Linked DNA regions of Sus scrofa. The protein of the gene in region 2 binds, or shares a complex with, the protein of the main gene of each other region. Links are inferred from orthologs where the notes say so. Each region holds a gene or a part of one and is shown on either strand. Other genes may lie near its edges.

What was found.
Region 1: TAF1C (region 2) and TAF1D share a complex: the UniProt entries of both Homo sapiens proteins name them as parts of the transcription factor SL1/TIF-IB complex. The link is inferred for Sus scrofa from reciprocal best matches to the Homo sapiens genes TAF1C and TAF1D.
Region 3: TAF1C (region 2) and TAF1A share a complex: the UniProt entries of both Homo sapiens proteins name them as parts of the transcription factor SL1/TIF-IB complex. The link is inferred for Sus scrofa from reciprocal best matches to the Homo sapiens genes TAF1C and TAF1A.
Region 4: TAF1C (region 2) and POLR1B share a complex: the UniProt entries of both Homo sapiens proteins name them as parts of the pol I pre-initiation complex. The link is inferred for Sus scrofa from reciprocal best matches to the Homo sapiens genes TAF1C and POLR1B.
Region 5: TAF1C (region 2) and POLR2H share a complex: the UniProt entries of both Homo sapiens proteins name them as parts of the pol I pre-initiation complex. The link is inferred for Sus scrofa from reciprocal best matches to the Homo sapiens genes TAF1C and POLR2H.
Region 6: TAF1C (region 2) and ZNRD1 share a complex: the UniProt entries of both Homo sapiens proteins name them as parts of the pol I pre-initiation complex. The link is inferred for Sus scrofa from reciprocal best matches to the Homo sapiens genes TAF1C and POLR1H.
Region 7: TAF1C (region 2) and TAF1B share a complex: the UniProt entries of both Homo sapiens proteins name them as parts of the transcription factor SL1/TIF-IB complex. The link is inferred for Sus scrofa from reciprocal best matches to the Homo sapiens genes TAF1C and TAF1B.

What each region holds. Positions count from the first base shown.
Region 1 is NC_010451.4:26,164,390-26,168,553, reverse strand, and holds the start of TAF1D (TATA box-binding protein-associated factor RNA polymerase I subunit D), read left to right. Parts: upstream 1-1,271; 5' UTR 1,272-1,422; intron 1,423-3,179; 5' UTR 3,180-3,280; coding exon 3,281-3,339; intron 3,340-4,164. UniProt on the Homo sapiens protein: Component of the transcription factor SL1/TIF-IB complex, which is involved in the assembly of the PIC (preinitiation complex) during RNA polymerase I-dependent transcription.
Region 2 is NC_010448.4:4,447,112-4,451,539, forward strand, and holds the start of TAF1C (TATA box-binding protein-associated factor RNA polymerase I subunit C), read left to right. Parts: upstream 1-1,560; 5' UTR 1,561-1,795; intron 1,796-4,004; 5' UTR 4,005-4,005; coding exon 4,006-4,143; intron 4,144-4,329; exon of another isoform or gene 4,330-4,388; intron 4,389-4,415; exon of another isoform or gene 4,416-4,428. UniProt on the Homo sapiens protein: Component of the transcription factor SL1/TIF-IB complex, which is involved in the assembly of the PIC (pre-initiation complex) during RNA polymerase I-dependent transcription.
Region 3 is NC_010452.4:11,348,828-11,352,525, reverse strand, and holds part of TAF1A (TATA box-binding protein-associated factor RNA polymerase I subunit A), read left to right. Parts: exon of another isoform or gene 1-1,430; intron 1,431-2,114; coding exon 2,115-2,273; intron 2,274-3,698. UniProt on the Homo sapiens protein: Component of the transcription factor SL1/TIF-IB complex, which is involved in the assembly of the PIC (pre-initiation complex) during RNA polymerase I-dependent transcription.
Region 4 is NC_010445.4:43,957,180-43,960,877, forward strand, and holds part of POLR1B (DNA-directed RNA polymerase I subunit RPA2), read right to left. Parts: coding exon 3,670-3,698; intron 2,002-3,669; coding exon 1,720-2,001; intron 617-1,719; coding exon 483-616; intron 1-482. UniProt on the Homo sapiens protein: Catalytic core component of RNA polymerase I (Pol I), a DNA-dependent RNA polymerase which synthesizes ribosomal RNA precursors using the four ribonucleoside triphosphates as substrates.
Region 5 is NC_010455.5:122,250,104-122,254,562, forward strand, and holds the start of POLR2H (DNA-directed RNA polymerases I, II, and III subunit RPABC3), read left to right. Parts: upstream 1-1,525; 5' UTR 1,526-1,651; coding exon 1,652-1,724; intron 1,725-1,828; exon of another isoform or gene 1,829-1,867; coding exon of another isoform or gene 1,868-1,949; intron 1,950-2,945; coding exon 2,946-3,029; intron 3,030-3,101; coding exon 3,102-3,195; intron 3,196-4,265; coding exon 4,266-4,349; intron 4,350-4,459. UniProt on the Homo sapiens protein: DNA-dependent RNA polymerase catalyzes the transcription of DNA into RNA using the four ribonucleoside triphosphates as substrates.
Region 6 is NC_010449.5:22,625,540-22,629,707, reverse strand, and holds the start of ZNRD1 (DNA-directed RNA polymerase I subunit RPA12), read right to left. Parts: upstream 2,838-4,168; 5' UTR 2,705-2,837; intron 2,592-2,704; 5' UTR 2,572-2,591; coding exon 2,436-2,571; intron 2,212-2,435; coding exon 2,111-2,211; intron 1,774-2,110; coding exon 1,664-1,773; intron 1-1,663. UniProt on the Homo sapiens protein: Core component of RNA polymerase I (Pol I), a DNA-dependent RNA polymerase which synthesizes ribosomal RNA precursors using the four ribonucleoside triphosphates as substrates. Can mediate Pol I proofreading of the nascent RNA transcript.
Region 7 is NC_010445.4:126,562,322-126,566,019, reverse strand, and holds part of TAF1B (TATA box-binding protein-associated factor RNA polymerase I subunit B), read left to right. Parts: intron 1-1,253; coding exon 1,254-1,353; intron 1,354-3,698. UniProt on the Homo sapiens protein: Component of RNA polymerase I core factor complex that acts as a GTF2B/TFIIB-like factor and plays a key role in multiple steps during transcription initiation such as pre-initiation complex (PIC) assembly and postpolymerase recruitment events in polymerase I (Pol I) transcription.

The DNA.
Region 1 (4,164 bases), on a different chromosome or scaffold from region 2:
GTTGGGGATCCAGCAGATGTGGCTTGGATCCCATGTTGCTGCAGCTGTGGTGTAGGCTGGCAGCTGTAGCTCTGATTGGATCCCTAGCTTGGGAACTTACATATGCTGCACCTGCAGCCCTAAAAAACATAAATAAAATAGAATAAAATTTTATTGGGGTATATGTGATTTACCATGTTTATTAGCTTCAGGTTTACAGCAAAGTGAATCAGTTATGCATATAAAATACATGCATTTTCATTTTGTACTGAGCTTCACAAACTGCATATGCAGGCCTGCCTAGGAATATAGCAGTGACTAAGACATGTGATACCTGTCCTGGAGCTGACAGTACTTCATAATGCCTAGAAAACCAGACTTTCTGCGCCTGGAATTTAGAACAACATTTAGAGAAAAATTGAGTAAAGAAACCTGATTACCTTCCAGGTCTGTCCTATCCCGAGATGACACTAACCACAAATTAACACGAGACAGCTTTCCTGGTTTTATTATATGATACAAGAGGTCTGAAAGTAGACAAATCAGGACAGCTCATTCCTTTTTTGTAACTACTTCGGGGGAAAAAATTGCCACCAAAACTAAACTAGTTTAACTTCTACCTTAACACTCATTTACCGCTCAGGGAACTAAGAGGGCTAAAAAGAAAAAAAAAAAAGGCCCCCGCTGGCATCTCTTGCGATGTGTTAACCACCTCCTGGGAGGCTGACCCTTAGTTCCAAAAGAAAGACTGAGTTAACAAAACAAGTCCGAAGGTGGAGAGGGAACTGAGTGCGTAACTGGATAACAATGGCTTCTAGTACAAAGGTTACACATTTCGATTCTCAGTCACAGCATGATCCTCTCACAATTTTACACAGAAGAGATTTTTGAAGGCAAAAGTAGACACACACACAAACACACACACCCGGAATCAGACTTTGGAAAGTCGGAGGACAGCTCAGCAAAGGGAGACCACTGGAGTCAAAGCAGGAGAAGTGGCTCTTCCTCGCAGTTCACATTCATTCCGTTCCCCTGCCCCCACAATTTCTTTTTCATAGTTTGCCCAAACGTTCTTGACTATTCCATTTACCTTACCGGTTCAGGACGCGTACACCAGAAGCCTGGCCTGGCCTCAGTCAAGTCCGCCTCCCCTGGGTTAAAAAGCTCAGGTCCCGCCCACTCTAAATCGCCCCGCCCCTCGCGGCAGCCAATATGGAGCGCCGCGTCTGGTTTTCTCCTATCTCTCTGTTATTTCCTGCAGTCAAATTGTTATCGCGAGACTTCGGGGCCACTATTAGCTGGGACGCGGGACTAGCCCAGCCTTTTCTTCCGCGCGTTTGTGGAGGTTGGGTGTTTTCTGGGCCTGCGCGCCCAACGCGGGTTTCTGAGGCCGGGGCTGCAACCGAGGACGCCAACGGAGACCCGTGCGCAGAGCGGGCACAGGTTGGTATAAGCCGTCCGCGGTCTGGACGGATAGGAAAGAGGACTTGGGCGCCGGGGCCTTGTGGGCGAAGGAGGGGGAGGGCCTGGCGCTTTTCACTTTTCCCGGGACGCCTGCGCGGCTCAGCGGGAGCGGAGGGCTCGCGGTGATTGTGGGCTCTGCTCTGGGCGGCAGGACTCACAGGTACAGGCTAAGCGCGTGGGCCGTTATCGGAGTTGTGGGTGTTGAAGTGCAAGTGTATTGAAGCGAGTGCACGTTTTCTCAATTAGTGGTGGTTAAGTGCGAGGTAACCGTTACCGACGCCATTTTCCTTGCACGAGGTTAGGCACTTCTGGAGACATTCGCCCCAAGGTCGCACTAAGTAAGAGTTGAAGGGATTTTGTTAAAGCTGCTAAAGAGCACTGCCTGGCTCCGTGGCCCCTTGTTGCAGAATCCCGGAACAGGAAGCGATAGGAATGCTTTCTAGTTCCCGAAAGTTTTTTTTTCTTATTTTTATCCCCACACCCGCAGCATATGGAAGTTCCCAGGCTAGAGGTTGAACCGGAGCTACAGCTGCCGGCCTACACTACAGCCATGCAGAATCCGATTTGGATCTGTGACCCAAGCAGCTTGCAGCAACGCGGGATCGTTGAGTGAGGCCAGGGATTGAACCCGCATCCTCACGGAGACAGCGTCCCGTCCTTAACCCACTGAGCCACAATAGAAACTCTTGAAAAACATTTTTGAGTTAAGCTTACTTAATTTTGATAGTGTGCTCTGTAATTATTTTAAACTTAATGTCAGGTATTCCATCATTGCCATTGGATCCAGTTTTTGTTGAATTTCTTTTTTAGGCTGTTTTCATGATTTATTTCTTAGGTTAACGCAGTTTTGAAAACTGCAATAAAACACTATGAAATTATCACACGAGTCCATGAGACATTGTGAATTTAAGATCTAGGTGATCTTATTGATTTCTTAGATTTCAAATACTGCTGCTGAAGGATTTCTTTCATCATTACTCATGTGTCATTACTAAGAATGTTAGACTAAGAACACCACAAAAAAATGAAGAATGATGACATCCTCATAAGGAAATGAAACAGAACAAAATAAGACATCTTTAATACTTTTCCCAAACTACTGTAAAATCTTCCAAGGAGATTTTTTTTTAAAGGAGACAAAGGGCACCATTTATTGTAGTCTGTACATTGAAAAGTGAGAATTCAGAACTTTGGGTTAACACCCATAGTAGCAAAGAAGTAATTTATCAAGGAAGGGGTTTCACAGTAACTTAAAATCTAGTGAGGGAAAGAGGCCATAAATGAAAATTGCAGACCTGAAGGTTAGGTTTAGGTAAGTCCAAATAATTTTTCTGGGTATACTGAGGCCAAAGGCTGCCTTTGTGGGACTTAATCTTTGTTATGCAAGAGATTTCTTGGTTCCCACCACTGTTGGCAAATGGCTTTTTGGCCATTAATTGAACATTACTATTTGTAACTACATGACTGTATGGCTAAGGGTAAAAATTACATTTTTACTGTTAGGGAAAAGAAGTTTGACACTCCTGTAGGAAATCTGGAATCTTGTTCTATAGGATGGATTAAGTAGGCACAACTGAAAGAACCCATGAATAAAATCTTTAGATGTTAGAATTAGACAGTTGTATATGAGAATATTAAAGGCCTTACATTCATTTTTGTCTTAATTTTCGTAATTGACTACATCAATATCTGCATTACTCTGATCCTAGCTGTTTTGTTGGCATTTATTTGTTCAGGGAAACTACATCACATCTACCAGATTTCATATGGTCAGAAGTCTGTTTAAAGCAAAGGACAAGTGACAATTTTGAGAGGAGCTTGAAGACTATATATCAAGATGGATTCTCACAATTGTACAACAGTTTCTGATTCAGCTTTGGAAATTGAGAATCAAAGGTAAGTGTTTTTCTAAAAAAATGTCTACATAAAAAATATGCACAACTGTGAGTTAAGTTTTATTTGGGGCAAAATGAGGATTTAAGTCTAGGAGGCAGCATCTCAAGTAACCCAGAGAGAACTCTTGCAGGGTGACAAGGGGAGGGTCCTGTAACGAAGGGCAGATAACCTCAAGTTAAGGAATTCAGCACATGTCTTTGTATGAGAAGATGCCAAGGTCTGGGTTCACTGAAATAACGTCTTTGATGTGCACCTCAGCTGTCTCTAGCCAGTATCCCCTGTTTTTCCATCCTGAGTTTCCTCAGGGCTCACTATATGGTGTGGCTGCTGGCTGGCAGGTGTTTCTTGCCTGTGTTCGCTCAGGGCTCACCAGCTCACCATCGGAGGTGGCTGAAATCACTGATGACTGACATCCTTTGCTTACTGATAGAGCAGGCAGTGTTTTTATTTCTCAGTTAACTACCACCAGGTTTTCCTGGGAACAGACTAGGTGATAATGTTTACTGTATTGGAATTGCTGTGATAGCATGCATCATTGTAGATAATGAATAGTTTGTAAGGTAATTTTTAAGAATTGGAAAAAAAGGAAAACCCAGTTTCCACAGACTTTCGCTTTAACTACTTTGGAATAGTGGGACGTGTTTGTAACCCAGGGAATCAAATCAGGAGTGTATTCTCTGGGCCAAATTGGTATTTTCCTGACTAAATCATTCTGTTGTGTAACAAGAGAATGGATATTCTGATATTTCACATTATTAAGGATGCTGGTTTATGTATGATGGAGATAACCAGTTACCTAATCCATTGATCTCACTGGGAAATCAA
Region 2 (4,428 bases):
AATGCCAGGTTCTTTTTTTTTGTCTTTTTGCCCTTTCTAGGGCCACTCCTGTGGCACATGGAGGTTCCCAGTCTAGGGGTCTAGTCAGAGTTGTAGCTGCCAAGCCTACGCCAGAGCCACAGCAACGCGGGATCCTAGCCGCGTCTGCAACCTACACCACAGCTCACAGCAACGCCGGATCCTTAACCCAGTGAGCAAGGCCAGGAATGGAACTCACGTACTCATGGATACTAGTCAGGTTCCTTAACCACTGAGCCATGACGCGAACTCTTGGAAGTTGATTCTTTAAATGAATGGTTCTCAAAGTGCGATGCCTGGACCAGCAGCATCAACATCTCTGGAAACTCATTAGATATGCACATTCTTTTTTTTTTTTTTTGTCTTTTGTCTTTTTGTCTTTTGTTGTTGTTATTGTTGTTGTTGTTGTTGCTATTTCTTGGGCCGCTCCCGCGGCATATGGAGGTTCCCAGGCTAGGGGTTGAATCGGAGCTGTAGCCACCGGCCTACGCCAGAGGCACAGCAACGCGGGATCCGAGCCGCGTCTGCAACCTACACCACAGCTCACGGCAACGCCGGATCGTTAACCCACTGAGCAAGGGCAGGGACTGAACCCGCAACCTCATGGTTCCTAGTCGGATTCGTTAACCACTGCGCCACGACGGGAACTCCTAGATATGCACATTCTTAGATCACATCCCAGACCTACTGAACCAGGAAACCCTGGGGGTGGGGCCCAGCAAACAGTTATAACAGGCTCTCAGGGGATTCTGGCACACACTCAGATTTGAAAACTCCCGGCCTGGATAATGGTAATATTTATGATTGACCAGTAGTTCTTAAAGGGTGTTCTCCCTACAAGCAAAATCGGCATCACCTGGCAACTTAGGAATACAATTTATCAGGCCCCAGACTCACAGAACCAGAAATTCTGTTTTAACACACGCTCCAGGTGATGCCAATGCTAGCTAGACTTTGAGAAACAATGCCTAAAGCTGTATTTGCCTGACCACTGGGAAAGCCTCATGCGCTCCCATGGGTACCAGAACCTCTACTTGTAAAGCCTATTTCATAGTATATAAGGACAATTAGGATTCCTGCTGACTAATGAAGTGCCTGGCTGACAGTAGGTGCTCAGTGTTTGTTGAGTGAATTAATACAACAATCCTGAAAAATGGGAAGTTAGTTAAGCACAGGTGGGGTTCGCACGGCCATCAACCTGGACTTCACTATTGGAATTTTTTTTTTTTGTCTTTTTGTATTTTTCTAGGGCCGCACTCCTGGCATATAGAGGTTCCCAGGCTAGGGGTGCAGTCGGAGCTGAGGCCGCCAGCCTACGCTAGAGCCACAGCAATGCTGGATGTGAGCCGCATCTGTGACCACAGCTCAGGGAAATGCCGGATCCTTAACGCACTGAGCGAGGCCAGGGGTCAAACCCGTAACCCCCTGGTTCCTAGTGGGATTCCTTAACCACTGAGCCACCACGGGAGCTCCCACTATTGGATTTTGACGGGATTTTGTTTTTACTGCCCACAGGGCCGCCTCCACCCCCCATTCCCCCTCCGCCCGGGAGGTGGCGCTCTGGGGCGCCCATGAGGCCAGGCTGGGAGGCGGGACTTCCTGCCTTCGAGGAAGTACTTCTAGCCCAGCCCGGAAGTCAGAATATTCGCTGTTGTGGGAGGTCCCGTGGAGGGAGTTGAGCTTGGATTCAGTTTTCGGGCTCCCTCGTGGCGCGAGGGTCAGGCGAACGGCCCGCGGAGGTTCGTTTCTCAGGCGACCACGGCGAAGCCTAGGCCACGTAAGTGTGCACGCCGCCTGGCCGGCACTCAGCGGCAGGTCCCTCTGCTCAGGTCCGCGGGCTCCGAAGTGGTTTATTAGCAGCCGCTGGCTCCCGGAGTTGGGAGGATCCCGCCGCTGTAAAGCGTGGTAGCAACAACTGTCTGACACCCAGCGCTTGGTGCGAGATCTGTCTTGCTATTGTTGGGTTGAACTTCTGGAGCCTGGAGGTGGATGGGGAAGGCTTGGACGAGGGGATGTCTGAAGGGAAGGGCTGCCAGCATCCACTCTCCCATCCTCTGGCAGGCGCACCTTTTGCCGTGCCCGGCCTGGAATTAATGCCGGTGACTAACCCTGCATCCTTGGATGTCGAAAGGGGCTTGGAGAGCCCAGCCCGAGGGCGGGAAGTCGAGGCTGTCTTGTCTTGGGGCTTCTCTGAGATCATGGGCTCCACTAGCGCCCTCAGCCTATGTATTTGTAAGGCTGTTTGGTTTCTTTCTCCTCTCTTCCATTCGTTCTGGATTTGTTCCTTCAGCTTATAGATGTTGATTGTTACTATGTAGCAAATACCAAGGCACTGGGGATAAGGTCCCTTCCCCAGGGGGACTCTTAGAACAGTTTGGAATCACATAGCTTCATCCATAAGTCTCTAACCCCACACCGGAAGGCGTTCTTAGGAGGAAGGGTGCAGGGTGTTTGTTGTGGGCTAGGGTTGGGAGAACTGGGAGAAGTGTCCTGACTTGCAATCTGAAGGGTGAGTAGGATTTTTGTAGGTGGGTAGGAAGGGCAATGGGGCTCATTCTAAGCAGAGAGATAGCGATAAACGGTCCTGAAGTGAAAAGACACATTCCCGCCACTGCCCTCTCCTGTTACGGAAAAGAGAATGACAGCAGCAGCCAGACGCCAGGATCTCAAGAATGAATCAGATACTGTCTCTGCCTCTGGAGAGCAGTCTCGCAGAAGAGAGAAGACTACACAGAAACCACAAGTAGAATGAGGCCCAGAGAAACACATTCATTCATTTGACAAGTATTTACTTCACTTACTGTGCAGTGGACACTTCACGGGGTGCTGAGGGTACATGGATGTTGGAGGTTACAGAATAAACAGGCACAGTGCACCTGCTGTTGCTGGGGAAAGGGTTTTGCTTCCTGAAACTCTCATGCTGGTGTTTCCTTCTGGATGCACAGGAAAGCGAGTAGTGGTTCCGAACTTGGACTTTGAGTCTGGTGGAGGATCACGCTGTTGGCCTTGGGAAAGTCACTCTTTGCTGAGCCTCAGGGTCCTGAACTCTGTCTTAGAGGCAGAGGAAGAGTGAGACATGTAGTACCTTTGTCTGGCAGATGCTGGTGCTCAGTCAGTGAGCGCTGCTGTTATTTTTGTGGTTAATTAAAAAAGGGAAGAGGGGTTTGGTGTTCCAGTTGTGGCTCAGTGGGTTAAGAACCCAACTAGTATTCGTGAGGATGCAGGTTCAAACCCTGGTCTCGCTCAGTGGGTTAAGAATCTGGTGTTGCCATGAGCTGTGGTGTAGGTTGCAGACTCGACTCAGATCCCACGTTGTTCTGGCTGTGGTGTAGGCCGGCAGCTGTAGCTCCGATTCCACCCCTAGCCCAGCAACTTCCACTTGCTGCAGGTATAGCTGTAAGAAGAAATGGGAGGAAAGAAAAAGGAGGGATTATTTTTCTGCTTTTCTAGGACACTTTGTATTTACCAAAGGCCTTTGACGTAAATTTATTATTCAACACACAGTCAGCTACATTTTTTGGAAGGTACTTTACCTGTCAGTGGGAAGGCAGACAAATAAGATTCGTTGTCCCTGGCTTTGGGGACTTGAGTTTGTCTTGAGCGTGTCGTCTGAGGATGTATAATTAGGATATATGAAGGAGCGGGATGGAAGCTGACCCCTTGCCACCTGACTTGGTCCCGTCACCTACCTCCGGGTTCATTCCGTGGCTGCCTGGTTGTTCAGGGGGTGCCACATGCCTTCTGCCTCTGTGAAAACCACACCCTCCCCTCCCCTCCCTCCTGGCTGGCTGGTTGGTGTTCATGGAGCACTTATTACTGTCTGGCACTAGGCTGCATGTTTGTTCTTTGTTAGCTGCTTCCCCAAAGAAACTCTTCCCCCCTCGGGGCCCTTTTTGCCTTCCCTGCCTTCCCAGGAACACTGGCAGCTGCCGGCAGGTTCTGGTCTCTGAGCAAGGCCAGTGTGACGTGTGGCTCTCGTTTTCCAGGATGGACTTCCCCAGCCCGCTCCCGCCCTCTTTGTTTATGACCGGCCCCCTTGGTCTGAGCGGTGTCCCTGATGTGTCCTTCATGTGCAGCTGGAGAGACGCGCTGACGCTGCCGGAGCCCCAGCCCCGGGCCTCTGAGGTGAGGGTGGCGGGGGGGGGCCCGGGTGGTGCGCCTGGCCCCCCGCTCCTCGCACAGATCCGCGCCGGAATCCTCTCCTTTGGGGACCAGGGATGCTCTGCCGTCCACCGAGGGCTCCTGAGCGGGAGCTGTTGGCTTGCTTTCCTGCCTCCCTCTCCCTCTTCTTTCCTTCCTCTATCTGTCCAGCAAAGACTCACTGAACAGCCACTCCTGTGGGCCAGCTGCCTTCCGGCCTGGCATCCAGTGTAAGTCAGATGCTCTCCCTGCCCCAGGGGAACAGAGGGA
Region 3 (3,698 bases), on a different chromosome or scaffold from region 2:
CATTTGTGAAGAGTTATGTGGAGGTAAGTGGACTTTTCATAAATGTCTATAAATCTTTGTGCTTTGATTCAAATTGCTGGAGTTCAGGACGCATTTGTGAAGAGTTACGTGGAGGTAAGTAGACTTCTCATAGTTTCACCAGTTTCATTCTGTTATAAGCTTTATCGTTATTGATTAGAAGGCAACTAATGGAGAAAATGGTTTAAAAAAAGGGAATATGATGCCACTTTTTTTTTGTCTGCATAATTTTTATTTTACCAAAGTACCTTATATTTTCTCTTACCAACATGCTGTACATGTGACGGTATTTTTTTCACCCCTGGATAGCATGTCGTGGCCAAATACAGTTGTCTCTCAGTAGCCGTGGATGCTCAGTCTTTATGTGTGCAGTGTTTGCATATAACCTATGCACATCCTCCTGTTGACTTTAAATCACCTCTAAGAGTACTTATAAAACATGTAATAAATTGTAAATGCTATGTAAATAGTTGCCTGTGTACAGCGCATTCAAATTTTGCATTTTGAAAGTTTCTGAATTTTTTTTTTTTCTGAATCTTTTCCATCTGTGGTTGGTTGAACCCTAAAATGAGGTCTGAGAGGATTCAGGGCCTGTGGCTGATGCTGACTCTGTTTATAAAGTTATTAGCCTTCTAGTTGTAAGTGTCACTTCTGTGTTCTTCTTGAGCTTCTGAGAAAAGCAGAAAGTTCTCTTATGATTTGGTGGGGTATTGCTGGGAAGGAGCTAAAACTCTGGAACTACGTCACAAATATGAGACGAAGAGTGGCTTTCAGAGGCTCTTAAGGATGTCCTGCCATCTCAGAGTCACTGTGAAAGGACAGAGCGCGCTGGCCCTGGGCGGTGGGAGTAGTTCATCAAAATAATTTGCTTTTTGGCTTTCTTGCTGCCCGGCCGTCTTGGCAGCTGCTTGTGGTTGGGGGCGTCACGCACCTAAGGCAGGAAGATGGTGGCCACAAAGAAGATGAAAAAGTTGCTGGAGTCAATCAACGCTCGGCTCCAGCTCGTGATGAAAAGTGCCAAGTACGTGCTGGGGTACAAGCAGAACTCCGAATGACCAGACAGGGCAAAACGGAACTGGCCATTCTCGCCAGCAGCTGCCCAGCCTCGAGGAAATCTGAAATCGAATGTCACGCCATGTTGGCCACAACTGGTGTCCATCACTGCAGTGGCAAGAATATCGAACTGGGCACAGCACTGGCCATCACTGATCCAGGTGATTGTGGTATCATTGGCAGCATGCCAGAACAGACTGGCGAAAAGTAAATCATGCATGAGTTTTCTTCAATGAAACCAGCTGGGCTTGCTTTTTAAAATAATAATAATAATAATTTGCTTTTTGGAATTCCCGTTGTGGCTCAGCGGATTAAGAACCCGACTAGTGGAATTCCTGTCATGGTGCAGCAGAAACGAATCCGACTAGGAACCATGAGGTTGCAGGTTCGATCCCTGGTCTTGCTCAGTGGCTTAAGGATCCAGCGTTGCCATGAGCTGTGGTGTAGGTTGCAATCATGGCTCGGATCTGGTGTTGCTGTGGCTGTGATATAGGCCAGCGTCTACACCTCCAATTGGACCCCTAGCCTGGGAACCTCCATATGCTGCGGGTGCGGCCCTAAAAAGACAAGAAAGAAAAAAAACCATTTTGCTTTTTGGAAGTTTCATTAGTGCTAGTGCTGAAGTGATGATTGTATTATCAGAAGATAATCTCTGAAACTGCCAGCAAATCTGGAAATTCCTGTTTCAGAATGGGAAAGAATGCAAAGAAAGGAGTTATAATTCTTCCGCCCTCCCTTTGTGGCTGACGTGACATTGGGCCCTGTGATGGGCTGCATCATGTGGTCCTTCTTTAGCCCTTAGTGTGTCCTACTTTGAAGACGTCATGTCTCATAGGGACAGTTTTTCATGTAGACACTTGCTGCATCTTTCTACCACAAAATAGGATAAGGAACAAAAAGGGGAAACCGTGTAGGCCTTTGTTGTGATCGTTTAGCAGTTTTCTGATTTTTTTTGTGCTCATCAATAATGTCAGCTTGTGCAGTCTATTTCATATAGCCCTCTTACAGAATTTAGCAAAGATGTTTTGACTTATTTTATATAGATGCTGGAATTCTATGGGGATCGAGACGGAGCCCGAGAGGTGCTCACCAATTACGCCTATGACGAGAAGTTCCCGTCCAACCCCAATGCTCACGTCTATTTATACAGCTTCCTCAAGCGAGAGAAGGCCCCCAGAGAGAAACTGCTCCGTGTGCTGAAGGTAGCGCGCTTCCTATCAGCGAGCAGGGGTGGGGGCGCACTCTAGCCCGTGTTTTAGCCAGGTCTTGGGACAGCACTTTCTGACATTGATGTCATAGCACCCAGAGACAGTGACAGTGTGCATACGGTACACTGAGGTCAAGACAGGAGGCCCCACGCAGACCCCCGCCCCATCCCAGGGGAGACCAAGCGGAGGGACCCGTGTGTCAGAAGCCCTGCGTCACCCTGGTTGGGAAGCTCTGCATTGCAGTTTTTTTTTTTAAGTGCACCTTTATTTGAAACTTATGTACAATAAAACACTTATTTTACGTGTACCTTTGGATGCATTTCGGCAGATGGATGCGTCCACACGATCCCTGTGATAACTGAGATGTGAAACATGCCTTCAGCCTAGAAAGCCCCTCATTGCCCTTCTCAGCCAGTCCACCCTCTGACCCTTTGCCCCGGGCAGTCGCTGACCGGCTGTCACTGTGGGTTGGTTTTCTCTCTTCTTGAATTTCATGTAAACAGCGTCCGACAGTATGTACCCTTTTTCTGTCTGTATTTTCTCACTCAGCCGAATGTTTGAGATTCATCCTTGTTGTAATTTGTTCCCTGTTACTAATGAGCAATATTCCATTTCTGTATATTCACTTCTCAGTGGACATGGATGTTGTTTTCACTTTGGGGCTATTATGAATATCCCCGTGGGTATGCATGTGCATGATTTTAGGAACCTCTATTGTCCTTTTTCTGTGGCAGCTCCCTAAGAGCGGCACTGTGGAAGGTCCGTATTAAACTGCCCAGCTGTCTTCTGCGGTGACGGTACCACTGACCTTCCCGGTACCAGGGTGTGAGTTCAGTTTCTCACACCCTCTTTGGCATTTGGTATTCAGTCCTTTGAATCACAGCCATTCTAGTGGGTGTGTAGTGGTGTCTCAAGGGCTTTTAATTTGCATTTCCCTGATGGCTAATGATGTTGGACATCTTTTAATAGGCCCGTTGGCTATTCTTACACGTCGTCTTTTGTGACGTGTCTGTTCACATGCTTTATTTTTTGGAGGCTTATTTGTCTTCTTATTGATTTGGAAGTTTTTCATATAATTTGGATAAAGTCCGTTGTCAGATATACAGATTGTAAATATTCTCTCCCAGGCTATGGCTTGCCTTTTTGTTTTCTTTACAGTATCTTTCAAAGAACAGAAATGTCTAATTTTGATTAAGTTCAATTTATTCATTTTTCTTTTATAGTTAGTACCTTTTGTTTAAGAAACCTTTAACCAGAGTTCCTGTCGTGGCTCATTGGTTAACGAATCCAACTAGGAACTATGAGGTTGCAGGTTCAATCCCTGGCCTTGCTCAGTGGGTTAAGGATCCTGTGTTGCTGTGAGCTGTGGTGTAGGTTGCACACTCGGCTCGGATGTGGGGTTGCTGTGGCTATGGTGTA
Region 4 (3,698 bases), on a different chromosome or scaffold from region 2:
CACAACCTCATGGTTCCTAGTCGGATTCGTTAACCACTGCACCATGACAGGAACTCCTTTTTTTTTTTAATATATTTTCAAATCCCAGTAGGCAACAGGATGACTTGTATCTGGCATATCTTTAATATTACTTGAAATATAAAGTCTGTATTTTAGGGTCCCCTATACGCCACTAATATTTACAAAGAAAAAGAAAGTTAAAAATGTGTTAGTGAGTGGACCAGAGCCCTCAATAAAACCACCACCACAGAAAAAAGGGGGTAGTACAGGTTAAATACCTGTCACTAACCCCAACCAATGAGGTGAGTATAAGGTAAGATGCTGGCTGCCACCAGAGAGAATGTAAAAGGCACTTTTGGGATCAGCTTCTGGCCTCTAGAGCCCTTGACCCTGGAGAAGGCCCTGGGGCTTCCTTGACAACAAGAAAAAGACCAAACAGCTAAGATGGAGGGACAAAACACCTCACAAGAACTCAAGAGCACCTTAAAATGTCGGAGGGAGTCAGCGATGCTAGGAGCGAGCTCCTTGTCTGCCCAGCCAACCATGACGCCATCCAGGAGGACAGGGTAGCACTCGCTGTACCGCCGATGTGGTGCACTGTCCACGGGAGTGACCCCTGGGGAAATCGAACACACAGAACCATCACCTCAGGCTCCTTTCCCCAACATTTAAATTCCCTCCAGATGGGTTCAATGTCGGCATCACCATTTTAGACATCTAGGCATCTTATCTCTAAAGCAGAATGTTTTTGTATTCTTGAGTAAATTTCTAAATCATTTCAGCAAGGACCCCCCAAATTGCGTGTCTGCAATTGCCCCTAGAGAGCACCCTGCAGACAGGGGTGTAAGGGAGGCTTTTTACCATACACTTTTTTATTTCTGAGCCATGTAAACATACCAACTTCTCCCCAAAAATCTAATTATAATTGATCTGCATTATTCACGCAACACAAATCTGCCTACTTGCTAAAATTTATTTGCAACCCCAGCTTCATACTAGTGGCACTTTTCCGATCACCAGAGGACATTCAGTGAAAATTTTGAGTTGTCTGAGACACGAATTCCCAGCTGAGGTCAAAGGAGGTGACGTGCAGTTTGCCGGTCTCAGCTAATACTATAGACAGACATCCTTCCCATGGTCTGTCCCAGGCCCTATTTATTTATTTTTTGCATCTTTGTGCTTTTCATTGGAGACTTTGCTATTTAAAATGGCCTTCAAGCACAGTACTAAATAAAGTCCTGGCTCCCAAGCACAAGGCTGGAAAACTGTGTTAGATAAGCTCAGAGTTATGGTGCTGTTGGCTGAGGGCTCGATGTTAGTGGATCAACAATATATATTGACTAAGGCATCTTTAAACAGAAACACAAAACAAGGCTATGTACCAATCAAGTGAGGAAGGTGTTATGACAAGAGACTTGCAAGAACCTAATCCCTGTTCCCCCAGAAGCAGTACCTCAGTATCTGCTAATTCAGTGCCAATGGTGACTTTACAGAAGTATTGCAATTACCAAGAACTTTAAGAACACTCTTTCATGAGCCATAAACACCTTCTGAAGACAGCAGGTGTTTCCCCAAATGTCACAGGTTATCCCCAATGCTTCACTCATCATCCCTGCAGGAATTCTCTGCTCAACTCACGCAGAAGCACAACTTAGTAGCTTTGCACCTGCTAAAACCCCCACAAGCACACAGGCCCGCTGATGGCTGTGCCCCACCTACCCAAGCTGCAGAGCAAAGCTGGAATAGAGGCTGTATACACGAACTGGGTGACGACCTCGCACGTGGCGGTTAAGTGGTTCATCAGACCACAGGGCTCCCCATCAGGGGTATGCACGGGGCAGAGGAAGCCCCAGGACTCTGGCAGCAGCCTGCGCACCGTGGTCGTCCGCATCTTGGCAAAATCAGCCCCTCTGTGCACACAGCGGAAGTGGGAGAGGTAGCGTATGAAGTTCAGCTTGTCAGCCACGACACAGAGTCCAGAATCCTGCAGGAAGCCAAGACCTTCATAAAACAAAAATCATCGAAAATTTGTATTGGAGGTGATGAAAAGATGACAAAACCTCAGAGCACAAACCTAAAGATCACAAAGTGGGTTATTACTGAGGTTACTCAGCTCTGGTAGAAGAAGGGGTTACAAAAAATAGCAAAAACCCCCAAATTTCACCAACTTGTATTAGCCTTGACTCTTTCCTCATCTCCTCTACACATTCTCCTTTATTAAATTAATAATACAATAGCAAGTAATTAAATGGGACTCATCTCAGAAGGCTGGATGACACACAAGCATGTCAGCTCTTAATGAACCTGCATCTGGAGTTCCTGCTGTGGTGCAATGGGATCAGTGGTGTCTTGGGAGCGCTGGGACACAGGTTTGATTCCACGGCCCAGCACAGTGGGTTAAGGATCTGGCGTTGCCACAGTTGTGGCTGGGATCTGATCCTTAGCCTGGGAACTCCATATGGCATGGCCAAAAAAAGAAAAAGAAAAAAAAAAAAAAAAAAAAAAAAAAAGAATCTGCATTAGAAGAACTGTTTTGTTTTTTTGTCTTTTCTAGGGCTGCACCCGCAGCATATGGAGGTTCCCAGGCTAGGGGTCTAATTGGAGCTGTAGACACCGGCCTACACAACAGCAACGCCGGATCCAAGTTGAGTCTGCAACCTAAACCACAGCTCACGGCAACACCGGATCCTTAACCCACTGAGCAAGACCAGGGATTGAACCTGCAACCTCATGGTTCCTAGTCGGATTTGTTAACCACTGAGCCACGAAGGGAACTCCCATAGTTTTTTCTTTTTTTAAAAAAAAAGCAGATTTCTGGGCTCTAACCATTTTTTAAAATTTTCCAGTCATTCTGATGTAACTGGTTTAGGGAAGGGCATGTATACCAAGCCTCCTAGACTCCCCACCTAGGTAACCTTTCCTCAGAGCTAAGCTGTCTTTAGTTTTCTAGAAGGAGGCATAGAAAACGCATGTGACCATTAAAAATAGAATAAAGCTATACAGACAACTTGTCTACAGCCTTTAGGCCAACATCCACCTATCAAAATTTGTAACCTGAAATCCGCCTTTGATGAAGTTCATTTTTTTTTTTTTTTTTTTTTTTTGCTTTTTAGAGCCACACTTGTGGCATATGGAATTTCCCAGGCTAGGGGTCAAATTGGAGCTGAAGCTGCCAGCTTACACTAGGGCTCACGGCAACACTGGATCCTTAACCCACTGAGAGAGGCCAGGGATTGAACTGACATCCTCATGGGCTAGGTAGGTTCATTACTGCTAAGCTGCAATAGGAACTCTCAGAAATTCATTTTTTTTTCTTTCCTTTTTTTTTTTTTTTTGGTCTTTTTGCCATTTCTTGGGCCACTCCCACGGCATATGGAGGTTCCCAGGCTAGGGGTCCAATTGGAGCTGTAGCCGCCAGCCTACGCCAGAGCCACAGCAACGCGGGATCCGAGCCGTGTCTGTGACCTACACCACAGCTCACGGCAACACCGGATCCTTAATCCCCTGAGCAAGCCCAGGGATCGAACCTGCAACCTCATGGTTCCTTGTCGGATTCGTTAACCGCTGAGCCACAACGGGAACTCCTCAGAAATTCATTCTTAAATAAATCTCTATTAAGCAAATAATTTGAAAATCATCACTAAATGAAGCCCGTCTTTTTAATTTTACCTGTTTTAGAACGTAGATTCCCAGTAGCA
Region 5 (4,459 bases), on a different chromosome or scaffold from region 2:
GGCAGTGTCTGCGGCTCCCCGCGTCCGGCCGGGGGCGGCTACCGAGGTCGGCGCTCAGTAGGACCTGGGGCTGCAGGCTGCTGAACCGTCTAAAGCCGACTTTCGGGCCCAATCTCTCTCGAGAGAGCGGTGCCCTCACTTGCTTTGCTGAAGGAGCCAACGGCTCAGACCGGCCTGGCAAGGCCCCTCTGCTCCGTGGGGGGTGAGAAACAGAACTGGGGAGACTCGGAGGGGGACGCTAGGCCCAGAAGAGGGGTGCTTGGAACTGGAAACTTCGGTTTCTCTCATCCCCCTTCCTTTCTTTGCGACTGTCCCGGGGAGGTGCACCTGGAGCTAGCTGGCCTGAGGCTTGTGCGTGGGTGGAGCCGGAGGGAAGGGAGGTCTAGGTGCTGGGGAGGCCGCTCCTGGGAGGCGGGCGTGGGGGGACAGAGGTCGCTTCTCCTTGGCAGGGCTGAAGAAGAAACCCGAGTAGCTGCTGACGTCTAGCTGCCAAGGGGGAACAGCCTGCTGGGGCTCTGCGTTCTCTATCAGGCTCCGGAGAAGAAAAGTGCAAAGGGTGGGGTGAACAAGTGTGGGGTGAACACAGTCAGAGATAGAGTCAGGGGACAGGCCAGTGCCCAGGAAAACAGGCATTGTGCAGGAGGAGGCAGTACCAGGGTGAAGGGGCAGGTGGGAGGCAGAGGGGGTTCCCAGGAGGGAGTGCCCAGGAAGGGGACAGTGTGAGAACCAGCACCCTAGAGGAACGGGCAGTGTAAAGGAAGAGGTGGTATCCATAGGAGAGGACAATGCCGGGATGAAGGAGCACTTAGGAGAACGTGTCCAGAAGGTGAGCGCAGTGGTGGAGGAAAGGCCAGAACCGAGCCGAAGGGGCAGTACTGAGGAGAGCAGTGTGATGGGGTTAATACCATGCTGAAGGGGCGGTGCGAGGTAAGAAATCAGGGGTGGGGAGGGTGCAGTACCAGAGGAGGAGACAGTGCAGACTTCCCTCTTCCCCATGGTGACATCATGGCAAATTCCCAAAGTGGATATCACCGGGTCGGGTGACATCCAGCTGGGCCCAGCCGGCCTGGGCCAGCCCGGGATTCCTCAGTGCCAGCTAGAAGGACTGGGTACGGCACCCTACTTGGCCATCGCCCTGGGGGCGTGGTTCTGCTCCGCTAGCCCTTTGCGCGGACTGTGCCCTCGGCAGACCCGCGGACCGACAGGGTAGGGCTAGGGCCAGGATTCTCTGGGCCAAGGATCAAGGTCCCTGGCTGGGGTAGGCCCCCAAGCACTCCAGTCTTCCTAACCCGGCATCTGAAGAGGGCGCACTAGAGCCTCCGGAGAGAGCGGGACACCAAGCCACCCCCGGCTGGAGGTGGGACCTATCGTGTTCCCGCCCTGGGAGGAGTTATCTGGACGTGAGACCGCCCTAAACACTGAAGCCTCTCGGAAGCAATCGTTCGGGGCGGAAGTTAAGAAGCCCCGAGAGCTAGGCGGCGGAAGTAGCTGCGTTACTGCTGGTCTGTGCGCATGCGTCCTTCTATTTCTTTGCTGCCGCTCTTCAGGCGCTGCATTTTCCTCTCTCATTTTTCTCCACGCGGGGCCGTGCCCTGCTCCGTAGTCTTCGTCACGCGCTCAGCACCTCTGCTTCTCTCGTGGCCCCCTCACCATGGCGGGCATTCTGTTCGAGGATATTTTTGATGTGAAAGACATTGACCCAGAGGGCAAGAAGTTTGACCGAGGTGAGTAAGGTTTGTAGGGGCGGTTTGGGAGAAGCGGCTGATCTCAGGGACACGCCCCTGGGCCTCTTGTCCACACATTTCATGTGGTCTTCCCCTACCGGCAGGTCCTGACCTAGGGGCCTCTCTCAGGAAACGTTTTATAGATGAGAAAACGGAGACTTCGAGCTCTCCCTCGCTTCACACATGCTGTGCCCGGTGCCTGGGTGACCTTTCTTCATGGTGCTGGTAACCTCCTTGGCATCTTTTTAATCGCTGCCCACTCTGCTAGGCGCTGTGCTGTGCACTTTACACACATTGCCTTACTTATTCCTTTCGAGAGTCTCCACGAGGTAGGTGGTGTCTTACCCATCTTCTGAGAGGCTGAGCAACCCACCCAAGGCTGTACAGCAAATAATCCGACCTCAGGGCCTGTTGCCCTCAGAGTCTTAGCTCTTTGTGAAATCCTCTCTAAGAGTTGACTGCTTGGTATACACCTCCTTGTTCTGACGTTGATCAAGAATTATTTGTCCTTGGTGTCTCTTCCTTTGCTTAGAGACTGAGATATTCTTCAGAACAAACAGCAGGTGTTTGTTTGTTTGTTTGATTTTGTCTTTTTAGGGCCAGACGTAAGGACATATGGAGGTTCTCAGGCTAAGGGTCGAGTCAGAGCTACAGCTGCAGGCCCCACACCACAGCCACAGCAACGCCAGATCCAAGCCCCGTCTGAGACTTATACCACAGCTCACAGCAACACCAGATCCTTAATCCCCTGAGCTGATCCTTAACCCACAGAGTGAGGCCAGGGATTGAACCCCCATCCTCATGGATACTAATCAGGTTTGTTACCACTGAGCCACGGACAAGACCTCCCCAAACAGCAGTTCTTAATAATCTCCTTAGCACAGCGCCTGGCACGGAAAGGCAAAACCTTTGGATGACTGACTTGCCCCAGAGCAGGTTGTTTCTTAGTCACCCATGCAGGCCTAGAACGTGATATTATTTGTTGCCAGAGGACCTTTGATTCTTTTCTGGGCATTCTGTCCACCAGCCATAGTTTTCTGCCTCTTTGCTTGTATATGTGGTTCTTATTGAGCCTGTACTTCTATGAGAGCAGATGAGAGGCCATTGGATACAGATTAAGTATTCTGTGCATACAGTTTCTCAAAGTGGGGTCTGCCCTGCCCTTGAGGGTCTACTTGGCCAGGCAGTTACCTCTGCTGCTCTTTTTCTGTTTCCCTCCAGTGTCTCGACTGCATTGTGAGAGTGAATCTTTCAAGATGGACCTCATCTTAGATGTAAACATTCAGATTTATCCTGTTGACCTGGGTAAGTGTTGAACACAAACAATAACAGCAAGTGTTTTTGCATTTCAGACTCTGATATTGCTGTTATTTTCAGGTGACAAGTTCCGGTTGGTGATAGCCAGTACTTTGTATGAAGATGGTACTCTGGATGATGGTGAATACAACCCCACAGATGATAGGCCTTCCAGGTGAGGAAGTACTTGAAATATGCCTGAGGACTAAATAGATAAGTAGTACAGAAAGACCCTTAGTTACTTCATAGAATAAATGTTTATGAACAGAATCTATGTAAACTTAAGGAAATTGCCGCACTTAATTCAAACAGGAGTTCCTGTTGTGCCTCAGTGGTAATGAACCTAACTAGCATCCATGAGGATGCAGCTTCCATCCCTGGCCCTGCTCAGTGGGTTAAGGATCCGGCGTTGCTGTGAGCTGTGGTGTAGGTTGCAGACATAGCTTAGATCTGGTGTTGCTGTGGCTGTGGTGTAGACGTGTAGCTGCAACTCCGATTCTACCCCTAGCCTTGGAACTTCTATATGCCTTGAGTGCGGCCCTTAAAAAAAAAAAAAGACAACAACGAAGGATACAAACAATGAGTTCTCTGGGAGCTCAGCAGGTTAAGGATCTGCTGTGGCTCGGGTTGCTGCTGTGGCCTGGGTTTGATCCCTGGCCTGGGAACTTCCTTGTGCTGTGGGTGTGGCCCCCCCAAAAAAATAAATAAAAGGGAGAGTTCAGACATCCAGGTGTTTATCCAGAGCAGTGATTACAGCATGAGTTGCAGCTTTTTGGGGGAAGGGGGGCATGCCCACAGCATGCAGAAGGTCCTGGGGCCAGGGATCGAACCTCTGCCACAGCAGTGACATTTCCAGATCCTTAATCATTAGGCCACCAGGAAACCTCGAGTTGTAGCTTTTTGATGGCTGAGGAAATGACCACTGAATGACGTAGGCTGTGTAAGTCTTGTGTCTCAGGAGGGAATTTTGTGTGAGGAAAGGCTTTAGAGCCCCACTCAGTTCACATCTCATCTCTATCACTTATTTGTTGAATAACATTTGACTTCCTTCAACCTTAGTTTCTTCATCAGTGAAATACCTACAGTTATACCTCGCTCACAGGGTTGCTGTCGGGACTAAATGATGTGATGTTTGGAAAGTGCCTGTTGTTATGATGTTGGCACTTAGTTATCAGTTACCATTTTTAAAGGGTCTCTTATTATTGTTGACTGTGTATAACAATAACTGCCACTATTGTTCCACAGGGCTGACCAATTTGAGTATGTAATGTATGGGAAAGTGTACAGGATTGAGGGAGATGAAACTTCTACTGAGGCAGCAACACGCCTGTAAGTTCCATGGTCTTGTGAGAATCTTCTCCCCCTTCCCTTTTGTGAGAATCTGGACTATGCTCTGAAAATTTGGGCCAGGCTCAGGCTTCTTGGGTCTCTCTCCCCAA
Region 6 (4,168 bases), on a different chromosome or scaffold from region 2:
AGCAGAAATAACAGATGGCAGCATCAGACCCACAAAAACAGTGGGTTTGAGAATTAACAGACATAGAACATAAATATCATGTTTAATGTTTACATGTAATATGTTTTATGAATAAAAAGAACCACTTAAAATATGATTAAGGAATTGGGAATTATTAAAAATAACTAAGATGATTTGAAAAATAATCAGGATTTCCCTTGTGGTGCAGTGGGTTAAAGTCCAGCACTGTCACTGCAGGGGCTAGGGTTTGATCCCTGGCCCAGGAATATCCACATGTTGCCGGCATGGCCACAAAAAAATCAAACAGAACTAAAAAATCTATCCAGAAACAGCATAAAGAGAAAAGAGATGGAAAATATGGGAGACAGGGTGAGAGAAATGGAGGATAGAAGATAAGGCCTAATAAAGAGCTAATCAGTTAGAACTCTAAGAATATGAGAACTGAGCATATGAGGGAAATATTCAGTGTGATAACAGCTGATAATTTTCCAAGGTTGATGGGGGAAAAAAGGTCAACCCTCACTGTTGGAAGGCCCAACACATCCCAAACAGGATAAATAAAAGAAAGCCACATCTTGATAGATTGTAGTGAAATTGAAGGACACCAAAGACAAAGAGGAATTCTTAAAACTATGTTTTAAAGAACCCATGTTCTGGGAGTTCTCGTCGTGGTGCAGTGGTTAACGAATCCGACTAGAAACCATGAGGTTGTGGGTTCGATCCCTGGCTGCTCGGTGGGTTAAGGATCTGGCATTGCTGTGAGCTGTGGTGTAGGTTGCAGTCTTGGCTCGGATCCCACATTGCTGTGGCTGTGGCGTCGGCCAGCGGCTGCAGCTCTGATTAGACCCTAGCCTGAGAACCTCCATATGCCTCGGGAAGCGGCCCTAGAAAAGGCAAAAAGACAAAAAAAAATAAAGAAATAAAAATAAAGAACCCATGTTTTTTAAATCATCCATGACTGACTCTCACCAAAGTAAAACTACCTTGAGGGCAGTGGAGGAGTCCAACATAACACACTGATCACAAACCAATACTCATTTCCTTTTAACTATTGTAAAAGGTTTAATTCACTGGGTATAAAAAGATAGGAAAAGAGTAATTATTTAAAATTTAAAAAGACCACAGAACTTCCCATCGTGGCACAGCAGCACAAGCAAATCCGACTAGGAACCATGTGGTTCAATCCCTGGCCTCACTCAGTGGGTTAAGGCTCTGGCATTGTTGTGAGCTGCGGTGTAAGTTGTGGACGCAGCTGGGATCCGGTGTTGCTGTGATCTGGCGTTGCTGTTGCTGTGGTGAGGCCAGAGGCTACAGCTCGGATGTGACCCCTAGCCTGGGAATCTCCATATGCCACGGGGTGCAGCCCTAAGAAGGAAGGAAGGAAGGAAGGAGGGAGGGAAGGAAGGAAGGAAAGAAGGAAGGAAGGAAGAAAGAAAGAAAGAGAGAGAGAGAGAGAAAGAAAGAAAGAAAGGAAGGAAGAAAGAAAGAAAGGATGGAAGGAAGGAAGAAAACGATCACAAACCTATTACTTGAACTGTACAGAAATGAAGGATGCGACCAGTCCAAAAAGTACAAAAATTAAACCACTGGATTTAAATTAAATCACGGGATTTTGGCAGCAAAGAGACCCAGAAGGGGCAGAATGGAGGGAAAGGATACGCACTTGCAGTTGGTACAGGTGTAGAAGACAGTCTGCCCTTCATCGGCTGAGCGCATCTGTCTGGTGTGGTATGCCATTCCCTCATGACCACAACGAGGACAGCGCCTGTCAACCTGGGAAGCAACTGGTAGGTTAATAATTCCCACTACTTCTCACAGACATCAAGCTACCACACTCCTCAGATACTGCTGGTTTTTGTTTTGCTGCACCTGCAGTACGTGTAAGTTTCCAGGCCGAGGATCGAACCCGTGCCACAGAAGCGACCTAAACCGCTGTAGTGACAATGCCGGCCAGATCCTTAACACCCGGCTGCACCACAAGAAAACTCTCCCCAGTCACTACTGTTTTAAAGACTCTTCTTCCCTGTTGTGTACAAAACTCTCCAGATCTGAGCCCTCCGTTTCGTTCCCACCCTCTTTACAGGGCCAGTCCTCGACGTGATTCACTTACCACGGGTCCCTGGAACTCAGGTCCTTCCTCCATCGACATAGGCATGGCTGTCCCCACTTTCTGGAACACAACTGAGGTCTTCACAACCTTCCCCTCAAAGTCTGCGCGGGCAGTAAGAATTGGTTGTGGAGACAGCGGAGGGGGCTGACACCACACTAATCCCTCTCTGTTAGGCCAGGAAGCTATATTCTACCCATCAGGTTTCGTGCCGACCAAAAGTATAAGTGCCTGATCCTGCGCTTTCGGGTCCCCGTCTTTAATCCAATCGATCTTGAGATCCCCATGGGCCCTCCTCCGCCCCAGCCGCGGCGTAGCAGCACCTCACCCCGCACGTTGATGGAGAAGCCACAGCGAGTACAAATGACCGCATCCTGAGTCCCGGGCAGAGGCAGGACCGAGCCGCAATCCGGACAGAAATCCAAGTCCGACTGAAAGCTAGAGGATGTGCGGGCGAGGTCCATGACAGACGGGTGGTCGAGGGCTGGGAAGGGGATGAGGAGTTTATTAAGAGAGTAGCCCCTTCCCCAGAGAGGTCATGCCTATTCTGTCCCTGGACGTAAGCATGCAGAACCCGAGATTTCTTCCTACGCATACCTTGTGCCTCTGTGACTAAGGAGCCCAAACTTCCGGAATCCCTATCCCGCGTCGGGTACAACTACGCTGGGGGTCTTTCCTGGGGCAGGCGAGAGGAGCAAGTCAACTTCACGGGCTAGAGCGCCGGCTCCGCGCGGGCAACCGAGCAGCGAGCGCGTGGCGGGCTAGAGAGTCCACGCGTCCCGGCTCTCGATTGGCTGTGACGTCATAATTAATTGCAACTGTGATCCCGAGAGCCTGGAGAGGGAGAGGAGCGGTTCTGAAGGAAGATTGTGGCGCCCCCTTCAGCCTGGTTCTGTTACGTTGGATACGAAAATAGGTGACGAAGCTGCGCCTGCCTCAGGTTATTTTTTCCCTTCAGGACTCAGTCCTGGGATGTTTATTTTATTGGTCTCGAATTTTACCAGGACCCAGTCGCGGGGAGCGTTTCTCCTGAGAAGTCGGACCAACCTTATAGAGTACTAATTTATTTATTTGGACTGGAGAACTGCAAACTCCAGCGGTTCCTGAATCTGCACTTCACTGTGGCGGTTGGACAGTGGTAGAAAACAAAGCGAAATATTCTGGGAGTAATTCTAGCATTCTTTGGGCCTTGCGACCCAAGCAAGGGCTCTCTGCAGGACCCGGTATGGCTCATGTGCTTTGGTGGCTGTTGCCTTGTCTATAGTGTAGATCACAGTTGCAGCTTTGATTCAGACCCTAGCTTGGGAACTTCCATATACCACAGGTGCAGCCTTAAAAAGAAAAAAGAGAGAGATCATGGTATTTGTAGATTAAAAATCATAGTTCCCACTCTTTATATGTTTAAATTTCAGCATCAAAATGTTTTTTGTATTTTGAGTTCATGTTGTGGCACAGCAGAAACAAATCCGACTAGAAACGATGAGGTTGTGGGTTCGATCTCTGGCCTCGCTCAGTGGGTTAACGATCTGGCTTTGCTGTTGCTTGAGCTATGTTTCGTTTTGTTCTTTTGTTTTTCCTTTTGTTTGTTTGTTTGTTTGTTTGTTTTGTTTTGTTTTTTGTTTTTGCTTTTTTTTGCTTTTTAGGGCTGCACTTACAGGATATGAAGGTTCCCAGGCTAGGGGTTGAATCAGAGCTACAGCTGCCCACCTATGGCACAGCCACAGCAACATAGGATCTGAGCCATGTCTGTGACCTACACCACAGCTCAGGGCAAGGCCAGATCCTTAACCCACTAATCGAGGCCAGGGATCAAACCCGCAACCTCATGGTTCTTAGTTGGATTTGTTTCTGCTGCACCACAACAGGAACTCCCATGACTGATTTTCAAATAAATTGTAGAAGTTATATTTTTTACTTCTATTTTTTACTTTGTATTCATCGGAAGGCAAAAATCACTGATACAGGAGTTCCACTCTATGGCAAAATGGGATGGGCAGCGTCTTGGGAACACTGGGACAAATGTTCAATCCCTGGCCTGGCACCATGGATTAAGGACCCAGC
Region 7 (3,698 bases), on a different chromosome or scaffold from region 2:
TGAGCCGCGTCTTCGACCTACACCACAGCTCACGGCAATGCCCGATCCTTAACCTGCTGAGCGAGGCCAGGGATCGAACCCGCATCCCCATGGATCCTAGTCGGATTTGTTTCCGCTGAGCCACGACAGGAACTCCTCAGCGGAAACAAATCTGACTAGGATCCATGAGGATGCAGGTTCAATCCCTGGCCTCACTCAGTGGCTTAAAGATCCAGTGTTGCCATGAGCTGTGGTGTAGACCTCAGATGTGACTCCGATCCCACATTGCTGTAGCTCTGGCGTAGTCTGGCAGCTACGGCTCCTATGGCTCCGCTTCCGCCCTCTAGCCTGGGAACTTCCATGTGCCGCGAGTACAGCCTTAAGAAGAAAAAACAAAACAAAAACAAAAACCTAATCTATAGCCGTGGGGGGGAGGGGGCACAGGTTGCTATACCCCATTCCTCTCATTCTCTGTTCTTCTCTATTTTTCTTCCTATTTTCTCCGACTTACATACCATAGATTCACTTATTTGTTTGGTTTGTCCTCTTTTTCTTCTCACTAGAATGGAAATTCCGCAGGAACTAGAATATTTTCCTCTTCTGCTCGCGGTTGTACCCCAGCCTAGAGTATGCCGGGGCTACAGTGCTCAGCACATTTCTGTTGAGTGAGTGAGCGATCAGTACGTGTGCGTGTGTGTGTGTGTGTGTGTGTGTGCACTTATTTATACACGTGCTCTTCTCTTCAGTTTCAATACTTTACTCGAAATGTTGGATTAGCTGCTCTGTCCTGGATGTTGAGACGGGGTGGTGAATGTCTACACGTTCCTGTCATTGTTCTTCCAGGACAGGCCCTTCCAGGCAGTGTCATTGGTCCTGGGGACAGAATGGTGGGCAAGGGAGGTACCCTAACAGGAGAAACAGGGTCAAGGTCGAACTCCCTGAAGAAGTGGAGCGAATCGTGTGAGGGCAGCGCGGGAGAGAAGGCAGGACTGCCCTGTCTGCAAGCCTGCTAGAAACAGACAGACAAAGGAAACGCACCTTCTAGAACTGTTGTATCTATTTACCCGGAAGTGTAAGAGTTTATTGGGTAGCAACTAAATGTTTTCTGCACACATGGCTACAGAGCATAGTATCTATTTTCAGCATGATTATCCTTAAAAATGTTTAGGTTATAGGGTATATACTCAACTGCGTCTTACCTTGTCTTTGAGATACATTTTACCTCTTTTTTCGTACACATCCCTTATTGAAACTCTTTCTTTTCAAAAACGCAGGTTTGCAGAAGAGGACTGTATCCCTTACATAAACGCTTTTCAGCATTTTCCAGAAGAGATGAAACTCTACGGGCGTGACAAAGGAATCTTTGCTATAGAGGTGAGTTCCTTTCTTTGTACTTTGCAGTCAGAAGACACAAGAGTATTATGGTGAGGTTGCAGATTCGATCCCTGGCCTTGCTCAGTGGGTTAAGGATCCGGCATTGCTGTGAGCTGTGGTGTAGGCTGCAGACGCAGCTCAGATCCCGCGTTGTGGCTGTGTCGTAGGCCGGCGGCTACAGCTCTGATTGGACCCCTAGCCTGGGAAGCTCCATATGCCATAGGTGCGGCCCAAGAAATGGCAAAAAGACAAAAAAAAACAAAAAACAAAACTGTCACTTAGGAGGTTTTTTAAGTAATTGATTTGAAAATCTGCATAATTCATTAATTCGTAATTTTAAATTTAGCTGCTAAACGGGCCTCGTTTAAATGTTCTTCCGAAAAGCTACTCAGTTCAGTGATTCTAGGGGTGTCTTTGGTTGGTGACTTTCCCTAGAGGACCAAGGGGACTGAGTGGTGCGTTCCTGTGGGGACCGCTCAGCCTTGGCGGCCCTGTCTCTCCTCTCCTCCTCCGTGGCTCTCCCTCTCTTCCCTTCTCTTTCCTCTCACTTCATCTCCTGTCTGTTCTGTTTCTTGTATCCTTATTGACTGGGTTTTAACCTGATTTCTCAGAGCCACTCATCACTCAGATTACATTGAAATTTTTGCTGGTCGAGGTTATTTATACTTTTTGTTGGCACCTTACTGTTACTTGTCTTAAAATCCCTAACCAAATTGTAAGCTTCTCAGGAATAGACATCAGCATTTTATATAGTCATGGAATATTAAAACTGGAGGGAAATTTAGAGATCTCTTAAGCCTCTTATTTTTTCAAGAAGAAATGCAACTTGGGAATAACAAACCTCACCTCATTGGGGTTTTCAAGAGACAGTATATTCAAAATGCAGACCTATCACTGACCTAGCACAGACATTGAAATGGTAATAGGCTTCCTTCCAGCCTCCAGGGTGGAAAAACTTTTCCTCTGAGGTAGAGATTAAGAGGATAATCAAGCTGCTAGGGGAAAAAAAAATGTATGTATCAGTTTGGGAAAATAAAGTTTTTGTTTTAAAAGTCTGTTAAGGAGTTCCCATTGTGGCTCCGCAGGTTAAGGACCCAACTAGTATCCATGAGGATGTGGGTTCTATCCCTGGCCTCACTCAGTGGGTTAAGGATCCTGTGTTCCTGCAAGCTGCAGTATAGGTCGCAGATGTGGCTTGGATATGCCATGGCTGTGGTGTAGGCCTTAGCTTCAGCTCTGATTTGGCCTCTAGCCTGGGAACTTCCAGGTGCCACAGGTGCAGCCACACACGCACACAAAAAAGGTCTATTAAAAAACAACCACCTTGAATGTGCCATTTCTACGTTTTTCAAAGTAGGTTCTACAAAGTCCATAGATACGACTCTTGCTTTTCATTAAGGTGGTTTGTAATTTTGGTTATCATAAATTCAGCTTATAAAGGATATTGCTTCCTTGGCTGGGTTTATATGGTGTCTACCAGTAATTTCCTTGTGAATTAAGGAATTCAGTTTCACTTTATGCATACTCACAAAGACGCTCAGATTTCACTCAATAAAAATAATTATTTTAAAAAATTTATTCTGTGTCCTTTCAAATAGTAATAGATTACATTATTACCAAATGTTTAAATGACTGCAAGAGTGACATATAATGCACAGACCCAAGTGAGTCTTACTGTAATAGCCAGTGTGGCTCATACTTTCCAGAAGCTTAGCTTAAGCCTTTGCTTAATATTTGCATTGCCCTCCTGTGAGCAATATGGTAAGAAGTCCCTACAAGTATTACAGCCACATTTTGGGGCGGCGGGTGGTGGGGGGGGAAATGGGGGAGGCTGCACCCATGGCGTGTGGAAGTTCTGCAGCCAGGGATTGAGCCTGTGCCACAGCAGCTACCCAAGCCACTGCAGTGACAGCCCTGGATCCCTAAGCTGCTGTGCCACAAGAGAACTGCATTATACACATTTCTGTCTGGTGATAATTCAAGGTTTCAACCTGAAATATTACCGTCTCAGTGTTGTGTCAAATCTGTACCATTCTCTGCCCCAAGATACAAGTTTAGTAAGTTGAGGTGAAGTGAGTTATTTATACGTCCACTTGCTCGTTATGTTTTTGCTCCGAAACCATTCAAATACTAATTTTACTTATCCTGTCAGTTACTGAGAGAAGAATATTGAAATCTCTAACTGTGATAGCAGCGTTTCTTTAAAATTCTATCAGTTTTTGCTTCAGGTCTTTTGGAGCTCTAATACTAGGTCATAGTACTTAGGATATTTGTCTTCTTTATGAGTTGACTCCTTTATCACTATGTAATGTCCTTCCCGCCCCCCCCCGATAATGTCTCTTGTT